Arabidopsis thaliana: one gene and its partners. The protein of the gene in region 1 binds, or shares a complex with, the protein of each later gene. Each region holds a gene or a part of one and is shown on either strand. Other genes may lie near its edges.

Region 1 (4,649 bases):
GAAGAACATTCCAGATCACATACCTCTACAAGTGACATATCTATTTTCTCTCCTATCCCGTTTCTGTGGAGGCTCATGGATAGCAAATATCTCGGAGAACTGTAAGATAACCATACCATCTTCCACATACAACGTAGGCAGTGGGGTGGCGCCTTTGTCATCCAATGTACCTTCCAATAACTCATCCACCTCCTCCTGAATGTTTTGATGAGATCACTAACATAACAAAATCATCCCACAGCAAAAATATGTTATTTGAGACACAATTTCCCTTTATTTTGAGGGGAAACTGACCTCCTGGACATCTTCGGTGTCCATATGATCCTCTTTATCCAAGATGCTAGCCTCCTCTTCATACTCCAAGGCCTTGTCTTCCTTTAAGACAACTGCAACGCAATTTTTTTTGTCTTGTTAAGTTTATATTCTCAAGGACTTAAATCACACTAGACTACAGCTTTGCAAGTAATCATTTGCCTGAGCTCAACAAGTATAATTACAGGAAGAATGACTTAACAAAACCAATTTGAGTGATGAGATAACACAACAAAAGTACACTTTACTATGGGATAATTGTTTTGTTCAAGAAACGGAAATTTCGAAATGCAAACCTGGTTCCCTCTTTTCAGTTTCAAGAGATTTTTCAACTGGCGCTTGCTCCTCCTCTTGTTCTTCTTCCTCGTCATAATCTTCATCATCAAACACAGAAGCTCTGGACTTTAAACTACCCAAAGCAACTGCAGTCGAAAAATACTCCTTTTTTGGCAGTAGATGATCTTCCTCACTGACTACTTGAACTTCGGGCCCATCGTACTCTTCATCAATATCCTCATAATCAACAGCATCCTCAGCTTTTCTATCATAATCTACACAACATATCACCACAGTCAATGACGCTGATGACCAGGATTTGGTAGTGTAAATAGTGTCAGTATGTAAATGCTACGGGCAGGAATGTTGCATATTTAAAGATTGTAAACGTGAGTAGTTAAAATGTTTATGCATATAAATTACGCAAGACACTTTCTTAAACAATCCAATAATAATTGGATTATGACTACAACGAAAGTAAGAAGAGTGCAAGACCATTGTGATGGAAACATTCACTGGGAGAAAAACTTTCTAGCAGGTTTCCTAGAAGCTACTCCAGTATGGTTTAAAGAAACGGTAGAATGAAAACTAGAAGTTAAATGAACAATAAAAACTGCATAAGATAGACGACCCTGGCAGACAACATCACCTTGCTCAGCTGGATCACTTGCTGTACGTTCTGATTTTGCCAATAACTGTTGAGTTTAGAAACACCATTATTGGCATCCCAGTACAAGAAAAAGAGGATTAAAAACCACATAAAAGACTCGCAGTTCACTCGTCTATAAACTTTAGAAGATAAAATATTAAAGAGTGTGTAGAACGTTACATTTATATCTGGTAGAGATGAACCCAGCTTATCTGCCAATGCAGAAAGATGTTCTTTGGCGTCCTGAAAAGTTTAAATGTTAGCATTGGCACAGGTATGCTTGGTGGAGAATTTGCAACTCATAGTTAATAAAATACATATATCCTAAGTCCAGAGAGAATAGACAGAAAAACTGAGACCGATAATGAAAATAATGTGTTCAACAAGGTCATCATACTGAAAGCGTAAAACAGATTACCTCATCAAGGTAATCAGCGTCCAAGTCCCCAGAGTTATCAACATTTCCAAAGATGAATCCAAGGTTAAAACCCCTGCTGTTGTCCTCATATTCATCATCGTCATCTGCAGCAGACATGTAAAATATTGGTGTTCACCAAACAAATCTTGGCAGACATGTAAAATATTGGTGTAAAATGGGAATGCATGTGATAACTGATTATCATCACGAGTATTCAGAAATCACAAAGATTGCATGTTAACACTCTTGTTAAACTGCTAAATCCAAGGTCACATAATCATTGGATTCCTCTCCATCATCTTATCAGGCTACAGTAGCCTCCATCTAGTGAAACTACTATTCCCATTCTCTTCGTCATCTAAGATCCTACAAACTCAATTCCCTCTAGAAATTTAGAAAAAATAATCTTAACTATACCCTAGAACATGTCCAGGATCACTCAAGACTGCTCCTTTTCTACTTAAAGAAATCCAAAATATTCAAAACCGTAAATCGGTCATGAGCTAGCCTAAATGCACCAAACACTAGCTAGACAGGGACATCTCTAGTTTCACAAACTGTAGTAATCCAAAATTCCACAACCTAATATTTCCAATCTCTTTGTCAATTAAGATCCTACAAACCAATACTCAGAATCACTCAAGGCTGTTCCTTTTCTACTTAAAGAGACTTAATCCGAAATATTCAAAACCGTAGAACAATCATAAGCTAGACAGGGGCATCTCCAGTTTCAGAAATCATGTCGACAATGGACTGGACCGGAAAAAAGAAAAGCAACAAACTTTGATAAAGAAAGCAACATATATATACCTGAGGAAGTCTCGTTGTGGGAACCCTTGCCATTGGATTCAGCCATATTCAAAGATTTAACTACAATGGTGACAATCGGGAGACGACAAGGCAATTGTCCTTCCCAAATCCCCAACCATTAAAACTCAATCAAAACCTTCAAAAGAAACAAAAAAAACTACACAATTACAAGCCAACCTAAACGGACCTGGAAACAAAAAAAGCTAACTTCTTTATCTGAAACTTCATCAAAAGAGTCTCAATTTGGCTTTAAAATCACAACCAAATCGAAACCCCATTGATCAATTTTCGAGTTAAGCTGAGTTGCAATCAAAGCATTGGATAAAATTGAAGAAGACGATACGATACCATTCACTGATACGAGATTGTTGGATTGGAGGGTTCTTTCTTGAAACCCTAATTGAGGGTACAAGTAAGCTTCGCCGGAAAGGTAAACCAGCTCAATCGGACGAGACGGTACGATGTCGGAGAGAAGTTCCGAGGTAAGCAAACTCTCAAATCGGAGGAAAAAAAAAAGTAATAACAAAAAAAAGAAGAAAATTGCGAAGCGACCAAGACAAGATTGTGAGGGCATTTATAAAAGTTTTATAACCCGACCCGAATAAAGTTTGAGTCCGGGTCTAATTTCTTAACCAGGAAAAATCAATTTCGTTGTTTGGTATGGAGGTGGTTAAGCAGAAATAGAGTCGGTTCTGAAGTAATTTTTGTTGTTGTTTAATCAGTGGTAATTTTACGAATTTAATAGATATATACCTATGATATTTCTTTAAAATATCTTTCTACCAAAATTGCAAAAGAAAATTGAATTTTAAAAGTATTATAAAAACATAACTGTTATAGTTCTACATTTAAATTTTCAATTTTTAATAATATTTTAATCACTTTAATTTTATTTTTTCGATCGACTAACATTCTAATATCCAAATTTAAGGCACACAAGTTTAATTGATAGTTTTATTTTTTTCATCGAATAACATCGGATGTGAAACTCTTTATTGCATACCTTGTACATATATAAAAATCAATAACATGTTGATTTTAATTATATAAAAAAATTTAATATTAAATAAAACCAGATTGAATAAAAATGGATATTAAGAAAATATATAGGTTCTTTTATTTTATGGACCACTGCGTCGGTAACTATGACGAAGTAAAACGGCAGTAGCCGTTAAAAAAAATAAAGTAAAATGATCCATATAGACAGATCGGAGATGTCGCTGAAAAAATAGAAGTGTCGTTGGAAAAAATAGAGATATTGATCTAACAACGTAGGAGTCGTGAAAAATATAGCGGCCTAAATGAACATAATCCAGCTTTTCTTCCATTGTCAGTTTTGAACAACCAGCAACGAATTTTATAATAAATTATGCCATTTATTTCTCATTTCGTTCTTTAATTTTTAGTCATCAAATTTAATCGCAACGACCAATACAAGAAGAACATGGTATAATCATACCAAATCATTGATTCAATATTACCTTATTAGATTTTATAAAATTCATTATCCATTCAACAATTGTACCTCAACATTTTCAAATGTACCTCAACAAGCAATTTTTTCTTTATTTAGTTTAACCTAAACAAGGAATTTATTTTTATTTTTACCATAACCATCATGAACTTTGTTGACTTGTTAAATGTCTCTATCTCCTTCTAACGAAATTATCAAAATCAATTTCTGTTCCTTATACTCCAACCAAATAGTGGTCCTGATTCTAAATCCTAGTTCTAAAATTAAGCCTTGTATTTTCTCTTTTTTATTAACGTAAAATCAAACAAAACAAATATCTCAAATATTTTGTTAAGAAAAAAGAATTCTTTATTCAACGAAAAATATGGATTAAAAAGAACACCAAAGCCACGTGCATTGTCACTTCCCAACTTTAGAAAAATTGTATTTATATAAACAAGTTTTATCTAATTAGCAGTTTTATGTTATTTTGTCTTTAATCTCACTTCACCGTCTCTCTTTCACTCAATCTCCGTGATTCATTTTTTCTCCGACGTTGCTTAATCCTCGAAATCTCCGGCGATGGGTGGTTGCGTCTCCTCCAACCTCCTTACTCCGACCGATGACAGCAGCTTCTCTCACCTCACCAGCTCCTCCTTAAGCCAACATTTCGTCAAGCTAACTTCCACCACTTACGGTCTTCTCAATCTCGACTCTTCTTCACCTTCTCC
Region 2 (3,599 bases), on another chromosome or scaffold:
TACCGATCACCAGCGAATCAAAAGGATTATATTGAATAAAGAGAATGAAAAAAGAAGGGAAAAATATTTGTGTAGAGAGAAAAGAGAGAGGAGGAGAAGAGAAGAAACGGAGGCGCTCTGCGTTAAACAGTGAGGAGGATGAAGAAGAAGAAGAAGAAGAAGGAAGGCGGAAGGGAAGGAGAAAGATAGTGGGTGCGTTATTGTGTCAAAACTTCTTTTATTCTTTTTATTTTTCCAATCCAGTCCTTTTATTTTCTGTAGACTTTCAATTCGCAACCCACTTTGTTTTCTTCTCTTCACGTAATAGTTCGTTTCGAGATCGGCCCATTATCAGGCCCACTAGATCCTCTTTCGCCGGAACTTGTGTGATTCAAAACGTCTCCGTACCAATTTTGACAGTAGACCGAATTCTGATCGCGACGGTTTTCAATCACGCCGAAGAAATACACAATTTGAATTTGAACTTATAAACCCAGTTCTTGTAATGTTCGACCAAAAACGAATCAATACTAAAACCAATTTTTAGGTATAGCCAAATTTAACCAAATAAACCGGATTACAAATGATTTTATTTGATTTCGAATTCTATAAAACCGGAAATGAAACCGAATCCAACCTAGTAAACCGGATTGCCACTTTTAGGCCATGTGGTCTGTAGTCAAAGATTGATCTTGTATTGAAAATGAAAACTGGAAACGTAAACCAAATAAAAACCAAACCGTAAGACTGATAGCCATTTCAGGGTCTGTATCCAAAGATTGATTTACTACAAAAGTTGTCACACAAAGTTAAGAACATCAAAGAACAATATGATCCACCAGGGAAGCCAAAGAAGTTCTCCTTTATGATGAGATTGATAGGCAAATCTCGCCAGCTTAAACCTGCCGTAGACCCTTATCCTTGAGCAGCATTGGTAAATTCCCCAGTCTTAGGCTGATATAAGTTCTCTTTTGGCTCTTGTTGACTAGCGGAAAAGGCGTGGAACTGATCTTTTAGGCACTTTTCCTTCGAGCTTTAGTCTCCGATAAGACTCCCTGATATGACAAGGTCTGATAGGTCCTGATTCTTTCCTTTCCGCCATAACAACTCGAGCTACAGATAATGTATTGAGGTTCAGTAAATGAGCTTTGTTGGCACATAAACAAAATCATTGGAAATTTTTGCACTGGCTTACCTGTTTCAACGAGTTCACCAACGAACATCTTTGCAATACCACACGCAACAATAATCATTGGCATACCAATCTTCTGACTACCAGTGACACCTATCAATAACTGCATTAACATAAAAGCTAAATGGTTCATATTTGCAATGAAACAAAATTAAGAATGTTGATAACCACAAATCATATAACATATATACCTTCTTCATCTGTGGTCTTTGAAGTGCAGATCTCCTAAAAGATTCATATCTACTCATCTGATCCTCAGTGAATTGCGATAATATGGTTCTGAAGAATTCAACAAACAATCAATCATCAAAGAAACATGAAGAACAATCAAAATTCTACAAAGACTCACTGCATTTTGGCCATTTTAGCAGGATCAGAACTAGTTGGATATTTAGTAAGCTCAACATCCATATTCTCTTCCTCTTCTTCATCATCTTCATCTTTATCTTTGTTCTTAGCTTCAGTAACAACAACAGAGGTTTTAGCTTTCTTCATCGGACGGCGAACATCCACAGGTCTCTCATCTTCATCTTGAGTCTGGTCGATTTCAATTCGTCCGTCTTCACTACCATCACCTCCTCCTCCTCCGCCAACGGGTGATTCCGGTGGCGATTCCTCTTGCTCTTCCTCAATCGCTGCTTCAAACGGATCCTTTGAATGCTTCATTCCTGATTAAAACCTAAACGAAAAAATCACATAATTGAGATCTCAAATTAGGGTTTAGAACGAAGCAAATTGCTACGGATCATTGACGAACCTTGAAGGTGAAACTCAGATCGAATTTCAAGAGACACGAATCTCTAGACCGTTGTTAACAACAACTGGGAGCTCCACAATCTTCCAGGCGGAGAGGAAAATTCATCGACTGTGTTCAATTTCAAGCTTTTCTATAGGAGTGTAGCGACTGTTATAAGTCGGTTTAGTCCAATCAATTGGTGGATCAAAAGAAAAGATCTGAACCGGTTTTTGTTAAACCAACCCAAAAAGTTTCGAGAACCACATCATTGGATTTGGGCTGGGCTCAGTTCAAAACCACTGAATAACTAACTGGTTTTTTTTTTTGGAATACAATGTTGGGATAACGATTTACAACTAGCCAAATGTTATAAATCGAGCTAGACAACAAAATTAAAAATATCAATGATAGTGAATTGGATACTAAAAAGTAAAAACACTCAAATGCTAACTATTTCTATAGATATTGGATAATCATATGTTAAATCAAATGCTTGAGTGATTTCAACATTTTTCTTTGGTCATCATGATTTTTATAATTCCAAATGAATCAAAGAACAGTTATCTATTTTTTCAAATCTTTCACATAATTCATAATTTTCTAGCAAATGTTATTTAGTTTTGCTTGATACTTTATGATAGGAAGATATAATGCTAACCCTTTTTTTCCTCCTCAATTTCAATATAAACTCATATCACCACCAAACCATCATTACAAATTCTAAAAACAAAACTCTATGAAACACATAAAACAGAAAAATATATATTTAGTCTCTTATATATATAACATCACTGCATTTAGAAAGTATTAGGCTGTTTAGCCTGAGAGATCATCTGGACAACCTCTCTCATGGTCGGTCTCTCAACACTATGTTCTTGCACACATAGCATTGCCACAAAGAACAGTTCCATGGCCTCTGCTAATGGAATATTGCTCAATCTCTGGTCAATGATCTTCACCACACCTTGTCTGTTACAGTTTGTTTGGATCTTTGACCATTGCACAATGTCTATCCCTTCTTCCCCAAAATTATCTACTGGTTTTCGACCCGTAATCAGCTCCAATAACACTACTCCGAAGCTGTACACATCGCTCTTCTCGTCTATTCTCAGTGTATATGCATATTCTGCATTCAAGAAACGGATAAAATGGGCTAAGATCAATCATACGTTTTAACTAGAAGTACTGAAATCCTAAGTTTGAATGTTACGTGTGATACAAGAAAGTAGTATTAGGAATCAGTCATGTACCTGGAGCGATGTAGCCGTACGAGCCAGCGATCGAGGACATGCACTCGGAAGCTCCATTGTCTTGCATCATAAACTTAGCAAGCCCAAAATCAGCAACATGAGCTTCAAACTCAGGACCCAACAAGATGTTGTTTGACTTCACATCACGGTGGATTATAAGTGGCGAGCAATCATGGTGAAGATAACACAACCCCTTAGCCGCTTCCAACGCTATTTGCAACCGTGTTTCCCATTTCAAAAACACTCCAGCTTTCCCGTGCAAGACTTCTCCGAGGCTACCATTAGGCATATACTCGTAAACAAGGAGATTCACGTCTTTGTTTGAACAAAAAGCGAGCAATCTCACTATGTTTCTGTGTCTGATTCTACCTAATGTCTGAATCTCTGCGGCTAAACCGTTGTCATGAGATGATCCTTTGGTTATGGTTAAGAGCTTCTTGAC
Region 3 (3,621 bases), on another chromosome or scaffold:
GGCAAATTACGTTTGTGATTACATTCTCGGTGGCCAATACGATGGATCTAGCTCCACAAAAGAGGAGTTCATGGAGGTATGTAAGCTTATTTTGCTAATTCTTTGTATCATTCTGGTTTTTCTAATCTCTATGTTGGCGTTGTAGAAATTCAAATACGCAATTTCGAAGGGTTTCGATCCCGACAATGACCTTGTCAAAGTTGGTATTGCAAACCAAACAACGATGCTAAAGGGAGAAACAGAGGAGATAGGTTAGTTACTCTACCGTTTTTTTACATGACAATCGTCTTTTATCCTTGGAAACAAAAACACCTTAGTTTGAGTCTCATGCCAAAAACCCCACAGGAAGATTACTCGAGACAACAATGATGCGCAAGTATGGAGTGGAAAATGTAAGCGGACATTTCATCAGCTTCAACACAATATGCGACGCTACTCAAGTAAAATTCCCATACCTCAAAAACCATGCATCTAGACAAGTTTTACACTTGAGGAAGTGTTTATTCATCAATACTATAATCTCTTCAGGAGCGACAAGACGCAATCTATGAGCTAGTGGAAGAGAAGATTGACCTCATGCTAGTGGTTGGCGGATGGAATTCAAGTAACACCTCTCACCTTCAGGAAATCTCAGAGGCACGGGGAATCCCATCTTACTGGATCGATAGTGAGAAACGGATAGGACCTGGGAATAAAATAGCCTATAAGCTCCACGTAAGCGCATTTCAAAACTAACTTACTCCTTACCAAACTGCATTCACTGATTTTTTCTATTTTACATTGATAGTATGGAGAACTGGTCGAGAAGGAAAACTTTCTCCCAAAGGGACCAATAACAATCGGTGTGACATCAGGTGCATCAACCCCGGATAAGGTATATATATATTTGCAGCTATATTTTTGTTTGGTTCTCTTGTTTCCCACACGAACATGAGTGAAAATATTTGTGAAAAAATTACAGGTCGTGGAAGATGCTTTGGTGAAGGTGTTCGACATTAAACGTGAAGAGTTATTGCAGCTGGCTTGATTCGGCATTGTGATCGTATTCAAATACTATTTGTCATGTCAAGAGTGTACTAAAATATATGTAGTTGTATGATTTGTCTTTATAACTTTTGTAAGAGGTTTTGTAATTCAAAGTCAACATCCTCGTTATCTTACTCCACTTAATGTTCTTACCATAATCGCAATTAGACTGATATAGAACTTGAGACTGTGTAAGGCTGTCATTATCGAGAAGTTGTCACTAAAACAACTAGGTTATGAATCTCCGCGGTATCGGGAAAGAACTCATTTTCAACAAATCGAGCCACAAGAGTTTCTAAAATAGTTTAATGTAACGAAACTCGGGAAGTTGTCAAGAGTTCTCCCGCGATATTTCGTTATGTTTGGAAAATTTTCAAAACAATGTAATGAAATATCGCGGAGAACTCATTTTCAACAGAATCACTCATCCGAATTTCTAAAATAGCTTCATAAATTTTTACGAAATACCGCAGAAAAACTTATTTTCAACAAAATCAGCCACGCCAATTTCTTATAAAATTTTCCAATAATTTTTTGGGTTATGATTACTACAATTTACATTTGTTTAATTTTAAACCAAAATTTTGGTCTAAAAAAAAAAAAAAAAGTTGGTAGTTAATTTTGGGGTTGGAGCTCTATATAAGCGAGAGATGGCAGGATTCTCAAGACGCATTTCTCTCTGTCTCTCTTTCTCTCTTCATATTTCCCGGTGCTTCGTCGACGTTAGGTCTTTTCCGTTGACGGAGGCAAATTTCTTCGATTCTCTTTAAACCGGCGGTCCATGTGGTCTTACCGACGAGAAAACCCTAATTTCAGGGATTAGATAGCTTTTTGAAACAAATTAGAGCAATGAACACAGAGAGAGCTCAAGAAGGTGATAGGAACGATGCCGCATCTTCCTCTGGCTGCTCCGAGTCCTACGAGTTTAGCCACGCAGCCGCTAAAGCTGCAGTAGCTCAGGTCTGCGAGAGCGTTGGGTACGAGAATTTCAAGGATCCAGCTCTCGAATCTCTATCTGGATTCGCACTCCAGTACATTCTTCAGCTAGGTAAAACCGCTACTTCCTTCGCTAATCTAACTGGTAGGAGTCAGTGTAACGTGTTCGATATCATTCTCGCTTTGGATGATTTGACTGATAACAATGGCGAACAAGGAATTTCGTCTGAGAGTTGTTCATTAGGTCGTTCGATTAAACTTAGGGAGATTATCGATTTCGTTAATTCGAGTGAAGAAGTCCCTTTCTCGCAGCCATTGCCAAGTTTTCCTGTAGCTATAAGTGATAGGAGTAGGAAGATGATCCCAAGCTTTGTTGAAATTGGTGAAACTCCACCTGGGAAACATATTCCTTTGTGGCTACCAGCTTTTCCTGATCCTCATACTTATAAGGAAACCCCTATGTGGATCGAAAGAGTATCAGATCCAAGGGGAGATAAGATTGAACAAGCGAGGCAGAGACGAAAGGCTGAGAGAGCTTTGTTGAGTTTGCAGAGGAAACTTGTTTGTAAAATCTCCTCAAGGAATCCTGTGTGGGGAGATATGGATGGTGTGAAAGAAGAAATGAGAGATGATGAGAGTGAACTGCGTTCTGTATCGTCCGGGGAGAAAGTCGAATCATTGAATAGAGATGGCTTATCAGTGATAGAGGCATTTGCTCCTGCTATGGAGGCTGCAAGAGATGGGTTTTCTAGTGAAGCTCACACTGAATGGAAGAAGAATAAACCTGTTGCTCTTTCTAAGCTCAGAACCGAGAAGAAATTTCTCGGACAACCTTTGGATCTAAGTCTACAGATGAAGGGTGAAGATAGACCCATATCCTTTGTGCGTGAGGAGGATAGAGATGACAAAAGAAGAAGAGCGGAGTTCATTTTGAGACAGTGTATGGAGAACCCAGTAGACCTCAATCAGTTGTAAAATAAGTGATTCATTACAGTCTGTGTAGCGTACTATTAATCTTGTGATTTGTAACCTTTCTTTATACAGGCCTATGTTATGATTATGATTTTGTGACTGAAAGAATGAGAATTTCTAACCTATCTTTTAGGCAATTGATATGATGTCTTTCTCATGAGATTCTTGTTACATAACTTAATGTTAGTTTCAGTTTCATGTCTCATGAGTGGGAGCCAGGGACCAGTGTGGAAGGAGTTTAGTCTTGTATCATTGCTATATTTCCAAACCAAGTCAAGTGGTCTGAGGTAAGTATATTTTCTTTGGTCGACATGTGTTTTGCTTCGTGATGTTTATGGGGTGTGAAACATATCACTGTATCAGAATTAAGATTATGTTATGTCAATTAGTTGAGAGCTCGAGGTTAGAAAGGAAAGCTAGGTTATTGAGTTGGGGCCTTGTGGATTAATGTAGGATTTTGCTTTGGACACTGGGCGATAGATAAGAGACTTACTTCTCTCGTTAATCAAGCCTCTTAAGAGTTTACGAGAACTGAATCCTATCACAGTTCCTTTAACTAACACCCCTAGTTTTCAGATTCCATACTTATGATTTAGTTTTTCGTCTATTAGCCCACCACTCTGATATCAGTATATATAGACTCCTGGCAGAACCATCATTTTGATAGTCTCAAATGTGAAAGTCTTG

The links. The genes of interacting proteins can lie anywhere in the genome.
Region 2: HAF01 (region 1) and TAF11 share a complex: the UniProt entries of both Arabidopsis thaliana proteins name them as parts of the TFIID complex.
Region 3: HAF01 (region 1) and TAF8 share a complex: the UniProt entries of both Arabidopsis thaliana proteins name them as parts of the TFIID complex.

Annotation. Positions count from the first base shown.
Region 1 is NC_003070.9:11,853,751-11,858,399, forward strand, and holds the start of HAF01 (HAC13 protein (HAC13)), read right to left. Parts: upstream 3,016-4,649; 5' UTR 2,814-3,015; intron 2,602-2,813; 5' UTR 2,512-2,601; coding exon 2,466-2,511; intron 1,760-2,465; coding exon 1,656-1,759; intron 1,481-1,655; coding exon 1,418-1,480; intron 1,284-1,417; coding exon 1,238-1,283; intron 864-1,237; coding exon 609-863; intron 387-608; coding exon 295-386; intron 196-294; coding exon 24-195; intron 1-23. Other genes in the region: AT1G32760 (Glutaredoxin family protein), read left to right, coding at 4,501-4,649. UniProt on the Arabidopsis thaliana protein: TAFs are components of the transcription factor IID (TFIID) complex that is essential for mediating regulation of RNA polymerase transcription. Core scaffold of the TFIID complex.
Region 2 is NC_003075.7:10,952,030-10,955,628, reverse strand, and holds TAF11 (TBP-associated factor 11), read right to left. Parts: upstream 2,090-3,599; 5' UTR 1,929-2,089; intron 1,851-1,928; 5' UTR 1,838-1,850; coding exon 1,521-1,837; intron 1,451-1,520; coding exon 1,363-1,450; intron 1,275-1,362; coding exon 1,175-1,274; intron 1,093-1,174; coding exon 965-1,092; 3' UTR 553-964; downstream 1-552. Other genes in the region: AT4G20290 (uncharacterized protein), read left to right, coding at 45-470; BAM3 (Leucine-rich receptor-like protein kinase family protein), read right to left, coding at 2,705-3,033, 3,158-3,599. UniProt on the Arabidopsis thaliana protein: TAFs are components of the transcription factor IID (TFIID) complex that is essential for mediating regulation of RNA polymerase transcription.
Region 3 is NC_003075.7:16,426,087-16,429,707, reverse strand, and holds TAF8 (TBP-associated factor 8), read left to right. Parts: upstream 1-1,697; 5' UTR 1,698-1,875; coding exon 1,876-2,937; 3' UTR 2,938-3,069; downstream 3,070-3,621. Other genes in the region: HDR (4-hydroxy-3-methylbut-2-enyl diphosphate reductase), read left to right, coding at 2-76, 146-251, 346-440, 529-714, 788-874, 962-1,027. UniProt on the Arabidopsis thaliana protein: TAFs are components of the transcription factor IID (TFIID) complex that is essential for mediating regulation of RNA polymerase transcription.